Linked DNA regions of Mus musculus. The protein of the gene in region 3 purifies or fractionates together with the protein of the main gene of each other region. This does not show direct contact. Links are inferred from orthologs where the notes say so. Each region holds a gene or a part of one and is shown on either strand. Other genes may lie near its edges.

Evidence for each region.
Region 1: the proteins of Mad2l1 (region 3) and Kif20a purify together in Homo sapiens (affinity purification with mass spectrometry; 4 studies listed by BioGRID and IntAct, with this or other methods). This does not show direct contact. The link is inferred for Mus musculus from reciprocal best matches to the Homo sapiens genes MAD2L1 and KIF20A.
Region 2: the proteins of Mad2l1 (region 3) and Anapc7 purify together in Homo sapiens (affinity purification with mass spectrometry; 3 studies listed by BioGRID and IntAct, with this or other methods). This does not show direct contact. The link is inferred for Mus musculus from reciprocal best matches to the Homo sapiens genes MAD2L1 and ANAPC7.
Region 4: the proteins of Mad2l1 (region 3) and Rnf8 purify together in Homo sapiens (co-immunoprecipitation; 3 studies listed by BioGRID and IntAct, with this or other methods). This does not show direct contact. The link is inferred for Mus musculus from reciprocal best matches to the Homo sapiens genes MAD2L1 and RNF8.
Region 5: the proteins of Mad2l1 (region 3) and Anapc1 purify together in Homo sapiens (affinity purification with mass spectrometry; 3 studies listed by BioGRID and IntAct, with this or other methods). This does not show direct contact. The link is inferred for Mus musculus from reciprocal best matches to the Homo sapiens genes MAD2L1 and ANAPC1.

Annotation. Positions count from the first base shown.
Region 1 is NC_000084.6:34,623,646-34,627,744, forward strand, and holds the start of Kif20a (kinesin-like protein KIF20A), read left to right. Parts: upstream 1-1,290; 5' UTR 1,291-1,415; exon of another isoform or gene 1,416-1,618; intron 1,619-1,812; 5' UTR 1,813-1,834; coding exon 1,835-1,996; intron 1,997-3,070; coding exon 3,071-3,160; intron 3,161-3,249; coding exon 3,250-3,369; intron 3,370-3,907; coding exon 3,908-4,046; intron 4,047-4,099. Other genes in the region: Brd8 (bromodomain-containing protein 8), read right to left, coding at 893-911. UniProt on the Homo sapiens protein: Mitotic kinesin required for chromosome passenger complex (CPC)-mediated cytokinesis. Following phosphorylation by PLK1, involved in recruitment of PLK1 to the central spindle. Interacts with guanosine triphosphate (GTP)-bound forms of RAB6A and RAB6B.
Region 2 is NC_000071.6:122,421,090-122,425,256, reverse strand, and holds the start of Anapc7 (anaphase-promoting complex subunit 7), read right to left. Parts: upstream 2,814-4,167; 5' UTR 2,680-2,813; coding exon 2,579-2,679; intron 1-2,578. UniProt on the Homo sapiens protein: Component of the anaphase promoting complex/cyclosome (APC/C), a cell cycle-regulated E3 ubiquitin ligase that controls progression through mitosis and the G1 phase of the cell cycle.
Region 3 is NC_000072.6:66,533,954-66,538,026, forward strand, and holds the start of Mad2l1 (mitotic spindle assembly checkpoint protein MAD2A), read left to right. Parts: upstream 1-1,267; 5' UTR 1,268-1,573; coding exon 1,574-1,646; intron 1,647-2,004; coding exon 2,005-2,151; intron 2,152-3,615; coding exon 3,616-3,736; intron 3,737-4,073. UniProt on the Homo sapiens protein: Component of the spindle-assembly checkpoint that prevents the onset of anaphase until all chromosomes are properly aligned at the metaphase plate.
Region 4 is NC_000083.6:29,624,776-29,628,290, forward strand, and holds part of Rnf8 (E3 ubiquitin-protein ligase RNF8), read left to right. Parts: intron 1-1,730; coding exon 1,731-2,474; intron 2,475-3,515. UniProt on the Homo sapiens protein: E3 ubiquitin-protein ligase that plays a key role in DNA damage signaling via 2 distinct roles: by mediating the 'Lys-63'-linked ubiquitination of histones H2A and H2AX and promoting the recruitment of DNA repair proteins at double-strand breaks (DSBs) sites, and by catalyzing 'Lys-48'-linked ubiquitination to remove target proteins from DNA damage sites.
Region 5 is NC_000068.7:128,611,978-128,614,398, reverse strand, and holds part of Anapc1 (anaphase-promoting complex subunit 1), read left to right. Parts: intron 1-1,335; coding exon 1,336-1,451; 3' UTR 1,452-2,421. UniProt on the Homo sapiens protein: Component of the anaphase promoting complex/cyclosome (APC/C), a cell cycle-regulated E3 ubiquitin ligase that controls progression through mitosis and the G1 phase of the cell cycle.

The DNA.
Region 1 (4,099 bases), on a different chromosome or scaffold from region 3:
TACTGTGGAGTAGTAATCCCGGCTCTCAGGATGCAGAGACTAGCCTGGTCTGCATGAGTTCCAGTCCAGCCAGGATCAGTCACACGATAGTAGCCTGTCTCAAAATAAATACATTCCAAACTCGTCCCAAGTGTGAACCACTAACATCAATTATTATCAACAAATCTTGATTTTTTTTTTCACCGTTCCAATGAAATATCACCATTACTGGCTACGGTACTTTTTATTGAATACACATTTTTAGAACATCTTGTTTAAATGCCACGGCTTTAAGGTGGTCTGCTTCCAAAAAACAACAACAAAAAAGGCAGTGTTACGTTAAAAAAAAAAAAAGGTAATAAGGTTCTCATTTTTAAAAAACACTTCTAAAACGTTCAGTTTGAACGCAGGCTTATTTCCCACGATTCCCAGCGGCCAAGGGCTCCGACTGCCGGCCTACTACTTTGCATAAAGTTGTTTACATACGGCCCCGCCCCCTAACCGTCGGATATAGAGCGGTTCCCTGGGGAAGCAGAAAAATGGCTGAACTCCGGGAGACGCGTTTTCCCCTGCGGCAGGAAAAGCCTACAGCTAACATATCACCTCGACTGCTCCTCACCGCTCGGTTAGATAAACAGCAGAGTCGCTGGCCACTTCACTCTGCCTTTCCGTTTTACCCTAGGCAGCGCCTAGCCCTCCCACAAAGGCTTCCCGGGCTGTTTCTCCGCAGCCTCCGTCTCCTCCCAACACTGTTAAACCCCAGGCGGGGGTCCCGAAAGCGACAGGAAAGGCAGATCTCTGAGCTCTGCGCTCTCCGACAACCCACTCCTCCCACGCCTTTCACGCCTGAGAATTGGGATGCTAGTCTCAACTCTACAAAGGCCTTGACTATAAAAGGGGGGCCGATACTCACTGCCTGTCCCGGTCGCCATCTTGGCTTCGACGTCTTCAACGTTGGCGACAGACGCGGGGAACTCTGGGAAACACAGTGCGAATCCGTTCGCGGTGCCTCGTGGGTAATGTGGGTGGGTCAGTTTGCCCTAATAGAAGCGAAGTTCCTCTAGGAAAAAAAAATCTGCTTTTTAACTAATAAAGGACAAGGGATTGCGGCTGAAGCCTCAGAAAAGAAACGTCTAGATTTAGAATTAAGCGACAAGAATACCAGGATGAACAACATGGAAGTGTCAGTTGGTAACCCGGACCCACATTAAAAGCAAACGGTCTTCCGGTAGGCTCTGCCTCCTCCCTTCTGCTGATTGGGTCCTTCAGGCTTTGCTTTTTGATTGGCCGGACAAGCTCAGCGCGCAGTTTAAAACATTGTATGAGGAACAAAGCTGTTCCTCGTGGGCGGAGTTGTGCTCTCCAGCCGCAGGAGTCTTGCTGCGCGGGTGGGTAGAAGCTGGGATCAGAGAAGCGGCGAGGCAGACAGTCTTCGGGTGAGTGAAGTTGGGCTGGAGCCCCGGTTATCAGCTGCTGCTTGCGCGTCCGTAGAAGGCTCCTGTGTCTTCCATAATTCTCTAGGTCTCGTGGTCTTTGGAATAAGGTTGGAAAAGTACCCTTGGGATCCTAAAACACGCTCGCTGGCGGACCTGTAGACCACCTCTGTAGAGCGTGGCCTTCCGTTCTGCTTTAGAACTAGGTATCTCTCCGTGCCTACTTACCTTCAGAAATGCAGCCTCCGGCTGTACTAGTTCTCATTCTCTTCCCCTTAGCTGATAGTGGTGTATAGTCTAGGCATCCCACCCCACCCCTTACCAGGTGCCTGTTTTTAACCTACAGGTTTGCAGGTTTTGTGTATTAATATTCTACCCATCTACTCTTGTCTCTTTTTAGACATAGACTGACTCTGCTTGTCATGTCTCACCGGATCCTTTCTCCGCCAGCGGGCTTACTCTCTGATGAGGATGTTGTAGACTCTCCCATATTAGAATCCACAGCTGCAGATCTGAGATCTGTTGTCCGAAAGGACCTGTTGTCAGACTGCTCTGTCATCTCTGCCTCTCTGGAGGACAAGCAGGTAAAGGAGTTGAGTGGCTTAGGGGCAGAAAGTGGTATCTTCAGCTAACAGTTGTTTATACAAGGTAGTATGAGATCAAAAGCCAGTAATCCTGAAAAAATGAAAGATCAGTTAAAAAATTAAGGGTAAAGCTGGGCATTGTGGTGCATACTTTTAATCTCAGCACTTGGGAGACAGAAATAGCAGATCTCTGAGTTAAGGCCTGCCTGGTTTACCAAATGAGTTCCAAGACAGCTAGCACTACACAGAGAAACCTTGTCTTGAAAAATCAAAACTGGGTTGGGGATTTAGCTCAGTGGTAGAGCACTTGCCTAGCAAGTGCAAGGCCCTGGGTTCCGTCCTCTGCTCTGGAAAAAAAAAAGAAATGAGAAGAGAAAAGGAAAGACAGACAGACAGACAGACCAAAATGCCGGGTGTGGTGGCACACACAATCCCAGCACTCAGGAGGCAGAGGCAGGCGGATTTCTGAGTTCGAGGCCAGCCTGGTCTACAAAGTGAGCTCCAGGACAGCCAGGGCTGTACAGAGAAACCCTGTCTCAAAAAACCAAATAAATAAATAAATAAATAAAATATTTATTTCGAGATAGTATTATAGTCAAGGCTGGCTTTAAACTTCAGATCCCCCTCTCTCTAGTGTTGAGTGTTGAGATTAAAAGCACATGCCATCATACCTAGTATATGGTGATTTTCTAACAACTTTTTTTTTTTTTTTTTTTTTTTTTTGAGACAGGGTTTCTCTGTGTAGCCCTGGCTGTCCTGGAACTCACTCTGTAGACCAGGTTAGCCTTGAACTCAGAAATTCACCTGCCTCTGCCTCCCAAGTGCTGGAATTAAAGGTGTGTGCCACCATGCCCAGCCTCTAACAACTCATTCTTACTCAGGAAAGCCAGGATTGCAGGGCAGTGTTGGACAGGGAAGGGTAACAGAATTCATGTGTGCTAGAATGATGTGGAACCAAAGAATGGCTGCACAGGACCACTTAACGCTTACTGAGGAATGAGGGAGCAGAAGCATGCTTCCTAGGATCTAGGCTGTTTGTCCTGGCTTACAGGTTAACTCGAGAATCTGTTACAGGCTCTACTGGAGGACACCTCAGAGAAGGTGAAAGTTTACCTTCGAATTCGACCATTCTTGACTTCAGAGTTGGACCGACAGGAAGATCAGGTAGGATTTAAGGTGGATTTAAGGTTGTAGTAGGAGAGGCTCCCAGGAGTGCTCCTTTACTCGGTAAACCCTGCTTTCTACCTTTCCAGGGCTGCGTCTGCATTGAGAATACAGAAACCCTTGTGCTGCAGGCACCCAAAGACTCCTTTGCCTTGAAGAGTAATGAGAGGGGAGTTGGTCAGGCCACTCACAAATTTACCTTTTCCCAGGTATGCAATACTGCTGTACGAACATTTAGGAAATGTATTTCTTCTTTAAAAGATTTCTACTCGAGTGTGGGTTCTTTACGTGTCTGTATCTGTAATTTTAAGACCTTTTTATGTGCTAGTCAGTGTGTGGGATACTTTTATGTACATGAGATACCACTGATGTTATTACTATTACTCTTCTCCCTGGTAAGAATACGATGGCACATATTGCAGTGACGGGGATTTTGCTGAAGCTATAGCGCTATTCAGTGGTAAAGACAGAGCTGAGATTTGGATCTACCGTCTCCAAACCCATGCTTACACCCAACTGTACAACCCCGTGTGTGTGCACAGCACTACACTTAACAGCATTCCTTAAGTGTTTCATTAGGATGAACTGAACTAGCCGGGGCGATGGAGGCTTTAGCATTTAGGAACAACTGGAGTCCATCAGGAAAGCCTGCTTGAGCAGGCTCCAGGGAGGATTGTAGCTACTCGTCCGGTCCAGGAGACGGAGGGCAGAAACAGTGTGGCTTCTGAGAGATCGGTCTCTTTCTAGATATTTGGGCCAGAAGTGGGACAGGTGGCCTTCTTCAATCTGACCATGAAGGAGATGGTGAAGGATGTGCTCAAAGGGCAGAACTGGCTCATCTACACCTATGGAGTCACCAACTCGGGGAAAACGTACACCATTCAAGGTCAGTAGTGAGCTTCAGCAGGGTTGCCTGGCAACTTAGCGTTGGCTTTCCCT
Region 2 (4,167 bases), on a different chromosome or scaffold from region 3:
TGCTGGCTCAATCATCATTTAATTCCGACACTGTGGAGTCAGAGGCAAGTGGATCTCTGAGTTCCAGGACGGCCAGGGCTACACAGTGAAGCTGTGAGGTGGGAAAAACAGAGGCAAGCAAAGTACTGCTTCCTCGGTTTTGAACCTGACCCAACCACCATCCTTCTCCAGAGAGCACTGCTTTTCATGTATCACTCCAGAGACACTACTCGCTCGGCAAGTATGTTACAGTGTGTCTTAGTCAGGGTTTCTATTCCTGCACAAACATCATGACCAAGAAGCAAGTTGGGGAGGAAAGGGTTTATTCGGCTTACACTTCCACACTGCGGTTCATCACCAAGGAAGTCAGGACTGGAACTTAAGCAGGTCAGGAAGCAGGAGCTGATGCAGAGGCCATGGAGGGATGTTCTTTACTGGCTTGCTTCCCCTGGCTTGCTCAGCCTGCTCTCTTATAGAACCCAAGACTACCAGCCCAGAGATGGTACCACCCCACAAGAGGCCCCCCCCACTTGATCACTCATTGAGGAAATGCCTTACAGCTGGATCTCATGGAGGCATTTCTTCAACTGAAGCTCCTTTCTCTGTGATAACTCCAGCCTGTGTCAAGTTGACACCCAAAACCAGCCAGTACACAATGACCATTTCCCGGGCAGAGCGATATCTTAGGTAACTGTAAAGGCTAGATCCAGCTGCAAGGCATTTTAGGTAAGAATTCTACCACTGAACTATGTTATCAGTCTTATTTTGTTTTTGGACAGTGTGTACACTGTCTCTTCAACAAATATCAAAACATAAAGGATGAAGGTCAGAACTTATCTGCTTCCTGTAGCTAAGAACTTGCCAATCTAACCTAACGTGGAAAAGCATGGGTTAGCCCAATTCAGTCTAACTAGAGGAGGACGCTCTATAGCGTTCAAACAGTGCTAGAACGTTGTCCCGACCCAAGAGTAAAGATTAGGGCATTATCCCCAACACAGGAAACCATTTGCTATGAAGCACCACTAAGATTCTGGGGAAAAGTCCTCAACATCAACACAGAAGGCTGACAGAGACCAGTGTCCCTCGTGTCACACTAAGAAGCTGGTGACCGGGCTGGTGAGATGGCTCAGTGGGTAAGAGCACCCGACTGCTCTTCCGAAGGTCCGAAGTTCAAATCCCAGCAACCACATGGTGGCTCACAACCACCCGTAATGAGATCTGATGCCCTCTTCTGGAGTGTCTGAAGACAGTTACAGTGTACTTACATATAATAAATAAAAATAAATAAATAAATAAAATCTTTAAAAAAAAAAAAAAAAAGAAGCTGGTGACCAAATGATGTGTGTGCCTAGTCGGTCCAAAGCACACTAATGAATTGGAGTGGGGGGTAGTGACTGAATTACAGGCCCCTCACAGCCCTTTGGCTGTCTCACTAGACTAGCCTCAGCCACGCCAAATGCAAATGTCTGCACGGAGTAGAAGGCTACTGTAATGTTCTTTGGAAGCACTAGACAGTGGTGGACTGAAATACAAACTATCTCCAATCATAGACAGATCCACTCGCTCCTCTATGTTCTCCAGGGTGTGATCTTGGTCGACCTACTGGACCTCCCTGTAATAAACACATTTCCTTAGCATTTTTTTTTGTTTTGTTTTGTTTTGAGACAAGGTTTCTCTGTGTAGCCCTGGCTGTCCTGGAACTCACTCTGTACACCAGGCTGGCCTCGAACTCAGAAATCCGCCTGCCTCTGCCTCCCAAGTGCTGGGACTAAAGGCATGCGCCACCACTGCCCGGCTCAGGCAGCGGTTCTAAAGTGAAGCCACCGGTGCCAATGCTTGCTCTGAGAGCGCTCGGGCAGGAGGAGAAATTAGAGAAAAGGAATGACTAGGTTGACTTGCGGAGCCACGTCGAAGAGTGAGCAATGATGGGGAAATTTTTAAGCAAGGCCCTTACAGGCAATTCAAGCCTACAACTGTCCCGGGCTTCCTTTGAGACGCAGTAAACCCGGCTAGATAGAACTGTCACTCCATCGGTAGTGTTTTGCCTAGCACGCCTGAAATCCCTGGTTCGATCCCCAAGGTCCACACGCACACTGAGAGCATGGTGGGGGTGTAAAACACCAGTTAACCCCCCCCCCCCAGCTTCTGGGAGGCGTAGGCAGGAGGGTAAGAAGGTCAAGGTCTTCCTTGACTACACACACACACACACACAGCCTGGGGCAGGCTAGCCTGGGCTACAGGAGACCCCTGTTTGTAAACACAACCACACAAAACCAGTCACTCCCCGGCGGCAATGTCGGGCCTTACATTAGACTGCCAGGGTTCCTTTTAAATTAAAAAAAGGCGCCACCGCGCCCGCCACCGATGCTCTCAGTCTCGGAAAGTGGGGTCCCCTCCCTCCGCTGGGGTGGCACCCCCACGGCTGACACTCGGTGGACTGGGTCCCCGGGACTCAGGGGACTTCGTCGTTCTGGAAGGAGCCAGAACTCCGAGGCCACCGAGGCCGGATCCCGCGCAGCCCTCCGCGGGACCACACCGTCCCCCCGCCACCGCCAACCCCGGCTCCCGGGACCGCCACCTCCCCGCCTCTCCAACTCACGGGTTGTTGTTACTCATGGTGAGCAGCAGGCTGCTGAGGAGCCGCACGTTGGAGTGCAGTCCCGCAGCCGCCATGTCCCGCACGTGGTCTATCACACTCATCCTGCCCGGCAACACCGTGGCCCCCGGCGACACCGCGGCACCGGCAGCGGCGGACAGAACTCCCGGGAACCGAGAGCAGAGGCTCGGGGAAAGTTCCAAAATGGAGACGGCGCCGGGGTCCTTCCGGTCCAGACGCGGCTCCGCCCCCCGAAGATGGAGGTAGCCACGGACGTGCCTGAGTAAAAAGAAGCAGCGGCGAAAGGGTTTTCTCCATCATCATCATCTTCAAAGCCATCCCAGTAGGAATCGTAGTTTTGCTGCGCTAAAGACAGCCTGAGAGGAATGGATGCCTCGCGGAGGCTAGTAACAATGCACAGGAGTTCATCCTAAACACAGCGGAGGCGGAAAACGGACAGTTAAAAATTGAATTTTCGAATCAGGCGCGCAAGGGCTGGCTTTCTCCAACTACGGGAGCGTCCTAGGCGAAGGTGGCACGCCCCCCTCTCCTGGCGACTCTTGTCCCTGTCACTGGGAATAGATTCCTTGGTGCAAGGCATGGCTTGCCCGTCCAAGTGACCCGCTAGATCCAAGTGCGAAGAAAAGATAGTTACAGGGATGAGCTGGATCTCTGATCGCCCCACTGTCAACATCTCAAGCCTTTACGAACTCGTTACTGCATTGCATATTCACAAATCGCAATGCTGAAGCCATTTCCATAGAGGGAGAGAGCCGCCTCAGAAATTAAAACTGCATGCTCTTGCAGGGGAATTCGGTTCCTAGCACCTACCTGGTGGCTCACAACAGTCTGAAAGGCCAGCTCCAGGGCATCCGACTCCTTCCTCTGGCGTCTATGGGCACATACATGCATGTGGTGCACAGACATACACACTCAGGCATGCAGATACTCATAAAAATACATTGAAACAAACAAACAAACAAACAACAACAACTTGGATCTGGAGAGATGGCTCAGTGGTTAAGAGCACCGACTGCTATACCAGAGATCCTGAGTTCAATTCTCAGCAACCGCATGGTTGCTCAAAACCACATTTAATGGGATCTGATGCCCTCTTCTGGTGTGTCTGAAGAGAGCAATGGTGTACTCATATTCAATAAATAAATAACAACGTTGGCAGGGGGTGGTTTAATTCTAGCACTTGGGAGTTGGGCCGATCTCTGTGAGTTAAAGATTAGCCTGGTTTATAGGGTGAGTTCCAGGACAGCTAGGGATACGCAGAGAAACCCTGTTTGAAAACGCTTAAAACAAACAAACAAACAAACAAACAAATAAGTACTTTGAATTGTCAGTCCTTCTTTGCCGACAAGGAAACCAAAACTTTCAAATGTTGAAGCTGGGCAGCCTGAGAGTAAAACCACTTATCAGCAAGGCTAGTTTTGTAAATTCAATCCCCTGTGTGGGAGGAGAGACCTGACTCCTTCACGTTGTCCTCTGAGACAGCCGCATGTGCCTCTCACTCGCACAAAATAAATAACTACATGCAATTAAAATGTAAACAACTGAAGCTGTTTGCTTAAATTTGAGATTCA
Region 3 (4,073 bases):
AGAAACTGAGAATTTTTCAAGTATTTTATAGTATTGCTTTTAATAAATGGGGAGAGAGGTAATGTTAAACCACGCAGTCAAAAGGAAATAGGAAAGAAATCAACCATCAAAGATTCCAGATCTTTTAATGTTTCTGAAATAAATTAGATTAAGTCCAACCACCGTTTGGTAAGAAAGAGCTAGTACCTCACTTTTATCTATACCACCATTTCTTTCCTCCTCATATGTCACAGTTTCTTTCTCTGATGTATTGTTTATACAACTTCCCTGGCATCTGTTTAGTTCAGGCTCTAAACCTTCTTCTTTCTTCTCCTTGTTCTTTCTTCTTCTTCTTCAAAGATTTATTTATTATTATTATTATTATTATTATTATTATTATTATTATATATAAGTACACTGTAGCTGTCTTCAGACACACCAGAAGAGGGCGTCAGATCTCATTACAGATGGTTGTGAGCCACCATGTGATTGCTGGAATTTGAACTCAGGACCTTCGGAACAGCAGTCACTCTTACCCACTGAGCCATCTTCTTAAACCTGCATATGATAGTATCTCTAATAGTCAACTGGTTTCAAAATGCAGTCTGAGTACCAGAGTTAGAACCATTTAGCATAGTTGGAAGATGTGCCATCTCCTGGACACAATACTACTGTACAATATTAAAACTGTAGCATGAATCCCATATGTAATCGTACATGCTCTGGTATAGGCCTTAAACGATCAAAAAGAAAGTACATATGACTAAAAACTTAAAAGCAAGCTAATTGCAAAAAAAAAAAAAAAAAAAAAAAAAAAAAGGAAATCAAGTGTCTCTATCATTTAAATCCTTTGTGGACTTATAAAATCTATGTAGTATAGAAAAATAAAGACATTACTAAATGATTATTAGTGTGTGTGTGTGTACACAATTTGCAGGGGTTCGCTTCTCTACTTGGTGACAAGCATCATTAAGCTTCTGTCCCACCTAGTTCCCTTCATCATATTTAACAAAACCAAAAACCAGGTTCTCCCAGACTTGAAACTATCCTCGAAGCTGAGACCATGCTTCAGGGATGCTCAGACCACGGGTTTGACAGGCAGGTAATCTCAGGACCATCTCTGGGCCGCTTCTAGGTCACCTCATCCGAGGTCCTGCACAGTACGGACCTTGTAGGTCACCAGGACCTGGAACAAGACGCCCCAACCACTCTGCGCTTGCTCATTCGGTCAGCCAGCGAGGGCGGAGCCAGGGCCGGATACAAGTCGCTTTGGGCGGGGCTTTAACCCGTGGTGCAACTGGGCATAGGGCGGAAGAGCCGATGTGGAGCGGAATGTTGAAGAGACCCGGCTCTCTAATGTGGGAGGGGCTTAGGGAACAAAACGGAAGCCTGAGGCGGCCTTAGGGAGGGATTCGGAGTTACAAAGCCAGCCGGAAACTGGCGACGTAGGTGGGGCTTAGGGCTCATTACGCCTGCGCACCGAGCAACCGGCGGGCTGCGTAGTTATTTTTGAACCGGGTGGCGGGGAATAGCTTAGAAGCCATTAGGGCGCCGTCTGCGGTGAGGTTGGTAGTGTTCTCCGTTCGATCTAGTGATGGCACAGCAGCTCGCCCGAGAGCAAGGCATCACCCTGCGTGGGAGCGCAGAAATCGTGGCCGAGTTTTTCTGTGAGTGCTGAGCGCAGCCCCCGCCGCCAGAGAGAGCTGAGGCTGAGCCGGGCCTTAGGACGCGCGCTAGGACGGAACCACGGATCCTCCCGGGGGCGGGGAACGCTGCACCACCCAGCGCAGGCCTGGGCCTCCTGGAACCTAACGGGGCTGACCTGGGTCATCATCTTACTCGCTCTCTGAAAGCTGGGGTCTGTGTTGACATCCTCTGACCACATGCTCTGTATTTACACTTAGCAAACCTGCGAAGTTGGACATTGCTGGGTTAAAGGTTTTCCGTGTCTTTTTGTGCCTACTCTGCTTTCTGGGAGACTTAAACGTTATTACACGGTTACGGCTTTATTTCTTTCGTTTTCAGCATTTGGCATCAACAGCATTTTGTATCAGCGTGGCATTTATCCGTCGGAAACCTTTACTAGAGTGCAGAAATATGGACTCACCTTGCTTACAACTACTGACCCCGAGCTCATAAAGTATCTCAATAATGTGGTGGAACAGCTAAAAGGTAATCACGTTTTCAGTGTGTGATCTTACAGGTTTGTGTCCCAAGTAACTTAAAGCAACATGCCTTCTCAAATGTCATTCTCAACTGGGAGGAAGCAAGCAATGGAGGGAATCCCCACCTCTTTTTAAGTAGGCTGAATGTCTTGATGTTAGGAATCTTTAAGCTGCTTTAAGAGTGGGTTTTGTAGGTTAACCAGTTGCAGCAAATTGGAAATTTTACCCGATTAAAAGGATTTCGCCATTCTGTGTTTTGCTTTGTAGCTCCCAATGAAATCATACAAAATACCAATTCTAAAAGCATTGCAACTGCCTTTTTTTCTCTTTGAGTTTTATTGTACGTGAAAGGGTGTTGTAGTTTGTTTTAATTGTAAATTCATTAACAGTGTTTATTGCTTTTTTTGTTAACTTCAGTATTAAAATGGCCTTTTGGTGGCCACCTGAACATGGTTAGCTTGGCATCTGTCTTTAAGGCCGTTTTGTTTTGCTTTGCTTTTGAGACAGGTCTCTTTATGTAGCTCTGGCTGTCCTTGAACATGCTATGTAGACCCGGCTATCGTTGAACTCACAAAGATCAGCCTGGCTCTACTCCCAAGTTCTGGGACTAAAGGCATTTGCCACTGTGTCCAGTTTAAGGCCAGACTTCTAAACATGCCTTGCTATTTGTATCCATAGTAGAGTATTCATCAACACTTGTGCAGGTTGGATATGAATTCACAGGCAAAAACGGCAGGGCTTTTAAGCATAAGATCTGCTTTGAATTCTGGTATCTGTGGATCCTTTTACCCCCTGCAGCTCACTTACTTGCAAGGATGATAGTTTAGAAACACAAGGCTAATTGGTCACTCTGTCCAAAACACAGTTGTGGCTTTCCTGATTCTTAAAAGTACAGTTTCATTAATTTAACTTGTAAGATTTTATATGACATAGCATCTTGACTTTTCATAATTATGTAATTTATTTACTTTATTGAAAAGAATTTACTTTTCAATTAGTCTGCCCATGTATGCATGTATATACATGTGTGTGTGTGTGTGTGTGTGTGTGTGTGTGCAGGCGTGCATGCATGCCCTTCCCATTTAAAACCTGTATTTGCCTCTCCTTTGTACAGTTAGTGTAAAAACTAATCTTTCCCTCACCTACCAGAGTAGTCCGATTTTTTATGCTCTTATAGTGTCTCTGTTGTGACCAGCCACCACAGATGTGACTGGCGGTGGTTAGATGAGTATATGTCATATGCTCTCACTGGGAATTGCAGAGAAAGTACAGGTTCACGGTTCTGATGCTCTGCCTTCTGCCTATTAGTAATATGGAGAATTTAAAACTCAGCTAAATTATTAGTGGAGAATTGTCTTCCTTATGCAAGAAAGGAAGTTCAATTGTGAGAGTTCTGTAAGGCCGAGAGTGGGTCTTTGGAAGAGAGTCTCTGTCATAGGCTAGAGTCTGAGCGCTGCCTTGTGTGTTGCAGAGTGGCTGTACAAGTGCTCAGTTCAGAAACTGGTGGTGGTCATCTCAAATATTGAAAGTGGTGAAGTCCTTGAAAGATGGCAGTTTGATATTGAGTGTGACAAAACTGCAAAAGAGGAAGGGTAAGTATGAGCTGAGTTATTCCTACCTTAATTTGTTTTTATGTTGTTGCATGAGTTCACATTGTATTGAACTGATTTCTTACAGTTACTGTCTATGGTATGTTTTTAAAGATACTTTTGTTCTTTTGTTAGCTTGTGAGGGATTTCTTTTTTTTTTTTTTTTTTTTTTTTTTGGTATTTCGAGACAGGGTTTCTCTGTATAGCCCTGACTGTCCTGGAACTCACTTTGTAGACCAGGCTGGCCTTGAACTCAGAAATCTGCCTGCCTCTGCCTCCCGAGTGCTAGAATTAAAGGCGTGCTCCGCCTCGCCCAGCTGTGAGGGATTTCTGAGTTCCT
Region 4 (3,515 bases), on a different chromosome or scaffold from region 3:
CTCTAGCCCTTCCCAGAGTTAGAGTCCTCCCAATATCTGGTTAGCTCTACAGTCTGTCTCAGGGCTTGTCACTCCATTTAGCTAACCTGCCTCCACATGGCACCCTTTGCTGTGCTGTTGGATTCCATTCTTAGCTGTGTCCTTGTCCTGTGTTTTTCACAAATAGCTGCTAAAAGCTGTTTTTATATCTATTTTGTCCTTGGTGTCTTTACTTGCTGTCTTACTTGGGGTTTTCATTGCTGTGAACAGACACCATGACCACAACGACTCTTTTTTTTTTTTTTTTCGAGACAGGGTTTCTCTGTGTAGCCCTGGCTGTCCTGGAAACTCACTCTGTAGACCAGGCTGGCCTTGAACTCAGAAATCCGCCTGCCTCTACCTTCCGAGTGCTGGGATTAAAGGCGTGTGTCACCACGCCCGGCTTAAACAGTGGTTAGATGCCCACGCCTGGCCACAGCGACTCTTATAAAGGAAAATACTTAATTGGGACTGGCTTACAGTCTATTGTCATTGTGGTGGGGAGCATGGGGGCAGGCAGGAGCCAAGAGGTCTACATCTTGATCCACAGGCAGTAGGGAGATACTTGTCACACTGAATGCAGCTGTAGTGTAGGAGACCTCAAAGCCCACCTTCCTAGTGACACTTCCAACAACAGGGCCACACCTCCTAATAGTTCCACTCCGTATCCAAGCATACAAACACACAATGAGTCTATGGCGGCCATTCCTGTTCATAGCTGGTAGGCTGGTGAGCACAGAGGTAAAGTGATAGATCAGTTATGCCAGGTGGTTTTCTAAGGCACCACATGCTGACTTCACTCAGGGGTCACCAGAAGGATTATCATCTGATAGACACGGGACCCAACCCAAAAAGCAAACAGGAAGTCTGCCCAGTGTCATTCAGCTCTTAAATGGTGGACACATTGCCAACGCAGGCAGTCTAATCCAAGACTCCAGTGTTGGGATTGAACCGAGTCTTCCTATGCTACCCCAGAGCTCAGCCTCTCCCCATCCATGCTCTCAACAATGTCATTTCACTGAGACAAGAGGTTTGGGAGCTGAGACTTACGGTATTAGAGTGCTGTGCTGTGCATTTTACAAGGCTTCTCATTGTATAGACAAAACTGAGACACAGAGGAGTTGCTAAAAGTATGTAGCTAATAGAGCCAAGTATTGAATTTGGTCTGTGAGCCCAAGGGAGAGCCCCAGCTCTGCTTGCTACACTATAGCTCAGGTACACGGCTACTGGTGTTCCTTGGATCAGACTCCCCAGTACAGAGTCCTGCACTGTCCTCTTAGCATTTGTACACTGTCAAGGGCCAGCGTGCAGAGCGTGGGTGGCTCCTGCCTGAGCCTGGCCATGGTTGGCTGTGCCACTGCTTCCCTCCCTAGGAGCGTTTTCTCCAGTCTTGACGCATTGCCGGAGTTTAGGTCAATAGGAGGGATTGAGTTTGAGTGTTGAGTGTGTCGCTGGGTTTTAGAAAGGAGAGTTTGGCCTGTTAGACAGGCGTTCTCTGTGGAGGCATGAAGGTGACATAGGTAGGAAGGCAGAGCGAGCACTGTGTGCGCAGTGCTCTTTCCAGAGATGGTGCTTTACGACCCTTTCATTTCTGTTTGTTCTCAAGGGTTTTCCTTCTGAAAAGGCAGAAGGTTTTGCAGCAGCAAGAGAGAGATTCCATTAAGAGGAGGGAAATCGTGAGCTTATTTTTGTTTTTCTTTCTTTTTCCCCAGAGTCTGAATGGTGTTTGGCTGAACAGAGAACGTCTGGCACCATTACAGGGTTATTGCATCCGTAAGGGAGACCATATCCAGCTCGGTGTGCCGCTGGAAAGCAGGGAGACGGCGGAGTATGAATACGAAGTCATTGAAGAAGACTGGGAGAGTCTGGCTCCCTGCCTTGCCCCGAAGAATGACCAGAGAATGGAAAAACATAAAGGCTCGAGAACTAAGAGGAAATTCAGTTCGCCTGGGTTAGAGAATCTTCCAGCCGAGGGCTCCTCAGATCTCAGATGCCCACTGGCTAATGTCGCCAGTAAACCCATTGAGCCAGAGAAGTTGCATGGCAAAGGTGACGCATCGAGTCAGTCCTTGGGATGCTTGTGTCCTGGGCTGACTTCTCTGAAGGCGAGTGAGAGGGCCGCCGGGCCTCATGCTTGCTCTGCTCTTCCAAAGGTCCTGGAACTCAGTTGTCCTAAGAAGCAGAAGGCCTGCAGACCATCAGCATCTCAGAACAGCTTAGAACTGTTTAAGGTGACCATGTCCAGGATGCTGAAGCTGAAAACACAGATGCAGGAGAAGCAGATAGCTGTCCTAAACGTCAAGAGACAGACTCGGAAGGGGAGCTCAAAGAAGATCGTGAGGATGGAGAAGGAGCTGCGAAACTTACAGTCTCAGCTGTATGCAGAGCAGGCTCAGCAGCAAGCCAGAGTGGAGCAGCTGGAGAAGACTTTCCAGGAGGAGGCACATTACCTCCAGGTACCTCAGAGGCAGGAGGCGGGGCGCCCCGGGAGCTCCTGCCTAGAGTTTTCTGTGACACAGGGACTGAATGCTAAGTGCAGGAGACAGAGTGAGGGTGGAGCTTGGGAAAGATTGGGGTTTCAGCACACTGGTGAGGTCAGGAGCCAGGCGGGCTGCCCGGGTGAGCAAGGTGACTGAGCAGGCAGCCTGGGGACAGCTGGGCTCTGCGTCAGGGAGAGGTTGGATAACGGCTAGGATGCCAGCAGACCGTGTCCCTGGGGCTTTGCTCTTTGCTATCAGAGCAGGTGCAGGTCAGCCAGGTCCCCTGTCTGTACATGGCAACGCTTTGGCACTGCGATTGGCTCTAGCTCCCCTGGAGAGTGGGTGGCAGCAGCAGAGAATGGTTTTGTTCCTGTCCTGACCAATCAGAGTGCCACGGAGGCACGGCTGGCTGAGTGACAAGCCGCTGTCACCCTCCTGGAAGGTAAAAGAAAGAAGTACCTGAGTGGACCAAAGCTCTTGCATAAAGCTTCAGGCTGGAGTTGATCCTGTTCCTGCTTAAAATGTCAGTTCCCATGTGGCAGGAACCGTGCGGGTCACAGCCCAGCTGCTCAGGTAATAGCGAATGTCAGGAATACCCTATTGTTGACTTAAAACCAAAAAGGACCAGTCACAGCTGAAGTGCAAAGGTGGTGGTTTATCTTGCTTGGCGCTCTGGGCAAAGAACAGCCTGCCGTGGTACTGACTTGTTTCTGAAGAGTTTATACTTTTCTTTCTAACCTCTGCTATCTCCTCGAGCTGGTAGGGTTAGCAAAAGCCATGGATGATATAGGTGCCTAAGGGCATGCTTGGCGGCTGTGCATAGCTCCTGCTCCCCTTGTTCAGCCCAGACCACTGTAAATTAACAGAGGGTGGGACTCTCTGTTTAGGGTGTCACACCATCACTGAGCAGAATTCTCTTTAAAGGATAGTGGGTTCAGAGAGGAGAGTGACTGGGATTAATATCCATGGCTACTCTGTGCTGAAGGGACAACTGCGAAGTCTTTCCTGGGACTCAAG
Region 5 (2,421 bases), on a different chromosome or scaffold from region 3:
AAGATAACTTGCCAGTTGTTTACTAGTGCCTATCCCACCGCTTCTTAGAAGAATTCCTAGTAGAATTTAGGAGGGTATGGCCTCAGTCATAGGAAGTAAATTACCTCTGGACTATACCATGTTGTGGTCACATCTTATAAATCTCAAAGGATCAACATAAGTTGTGATCTATGATCGTAACTGCAGGCATGTTTTGTTGAAATCTAACTCTACCCAGATCTAAGCCCAGTAGCTAAAGAACATGGAAGTACCCAGCAATGAAAAGTAGGTGAAATTCAATATGTGGCATACAATAAAAACAGCCCCACCCACTCCCCAGGGCATAGTAGTCCACACCTATAATTTAAGCATTTGGAAATCAAATTCCTTGGAGGGGAAGAAGTTCAAGGCCATCTCTGGCTACAGAGTGAGGTGGGAGCTGGTCTTGGCCCACACAGGACCCTGTCTCAGGAAAAAATAACAACAATAAACAACAGTAACAGCAGCTACTGTCTCCAGGCCCACACGCTGCCATGCTAGTGCAGCCCCTGGCCTAAGCTGCTTAGATTTGTGCTGCCTCACGGTGCTCCTGCATCCCTACTTGTTCACACTTTGCCATTCGTACTTTGCTGCAAACCAAATAGCTGTCTCTCCCTGGCTTCTGGTGGGGCAAGATTCTTATCTACCTTTTACCCCCTCTATTTTCTTTCTTTGCTCCCCACCCTGTTCTTAATCAAATAAGAAAGTAAACACTGCAGAATGAGAAAAAGAAAAAGTAAAACAAAAGCAGCAGCCCACGTGCAGAGAAACAGGAAGGTGTATAACCCGTGCTGCTGGGACTGTGGGGTGGGGAGGAAAGGAGGAGGAAGCTTGAGAGACTCTTTGGCGATGTGCCTGTGGGTCTAGATCTCGGTAGACAATCGCTTGGGTATTGTCTAAAATCCCAGATATCCAGGCCTCACTCCAGTGAGTATTTGTAAACTGTGGGACCAAGAACAAGAGACAGTAGATTAACTCTCAGTCTTTAGTCTGTTGAGGTTGTTTGTTTGTAAAAGATTGAACTCACAGATCAAAAATCAAGTATTAAAATCAGTTTTCAAAATCACTTATAGTAATTGAAGTTAATTGAATTTAATGTACACAGATAAGTTTTCACAGTGGTTAATTTCTAAAGTACAGAATGGATACATTTAAATTCTTTAATTGTTTTAGGAAATTAAAAATTCAAGGTTTGCCACTGGGGTGCTTTTGTGTAGAAGGAAGGCTTTCTGGCTCAGGTGTGGTGTGCAGAGCTTGGGAGGGCTGTGTGGCTGCGGCTGTGTAGTGATGTCACCTTCTGCATCTCTGTCTCTTTAGGGAGCACAAGCTTTGCTGAACTCCTCTACAGGTTCCGACACCTGAAGATGCCCGTCCGGGCTTTGCTAAGACTGGCTCCTGTGCTGCTTGGGAACCCACAGCCGATGGTCATGTGACCACCTCTGCCGAGGGAAACCCACCCTAGAAATGACTGCGGCACAGAATCCTGATGGCAGCAAAGTGAAGGCAGCATTTCTGTTTTGTAACCAATGGAACTCAGTTGCATACGCCTCACTGTGCTTAAAATTCATGTTGAAAATAAGACAGATAACGCTGGTGCTGTCCACGTGTCATATGATGTATAAAACATCAGTTAAAACTCACATTTTGTAAATAAAGATTTTTGGTTTGTTTTCAAAACTATTGATTGCTTTGGACTTCAGAGAATAGATGGACAGGCTGAGTTTTTAAGCCTTATAACTTTAGTGGTTCAGGTTCTGTACTCAGAAGTGCAAGGCTTAAAAAGCCACATTGTGAAAATGGACTTTGTGCTCTCCGGGAGCGTTTGTGTGTTGTCTGTTACGTAACAGTTATCTTCTCTACAATGAGTCTGTGCTTCCCGTGGTGGATGGATGACAGACAGCGTTACTGCCAGCAGTTTTCTACTGAATGAAGAATTGCTCAGCATGGAGTACTGGACTGTGCCCAAGCCCTGACCTTGGTGCAGCTGTGTAGGCTGCAGCTCTTTGGAGGTAATCGAGGTTAAAGGGCACTCTAAGGGGGAGTCTATTTGGTAGAATCGATGTCCTGCTCAGAAGAGGAAAAAGAGATGATTTTCTCTCTGTACCATGTGAGAACTCATAGCACAACTGCTCACAAACTAAGAAGATTCCCTTGTGAGGAACCAGTCAGACAGTCTTGAGCTTTAGCACCTAGAAGTATTAAGCGATAAACTCCTGATGCTTGTCTGTGGTACTTGGTGTTTGCAGCCTGTGCAGGCTGTGCATGACACCTGCTCAAAATACTGAAAATACAGAATTACCGCCACAGAGGAGTGTTAAGAAATACGGAAATCAGTCTATCTGAACTAAAGGTCTGGAAAGTGCTTTTGCATTCTGAGTTTCAGGACAGCTCATGATGCCCCAT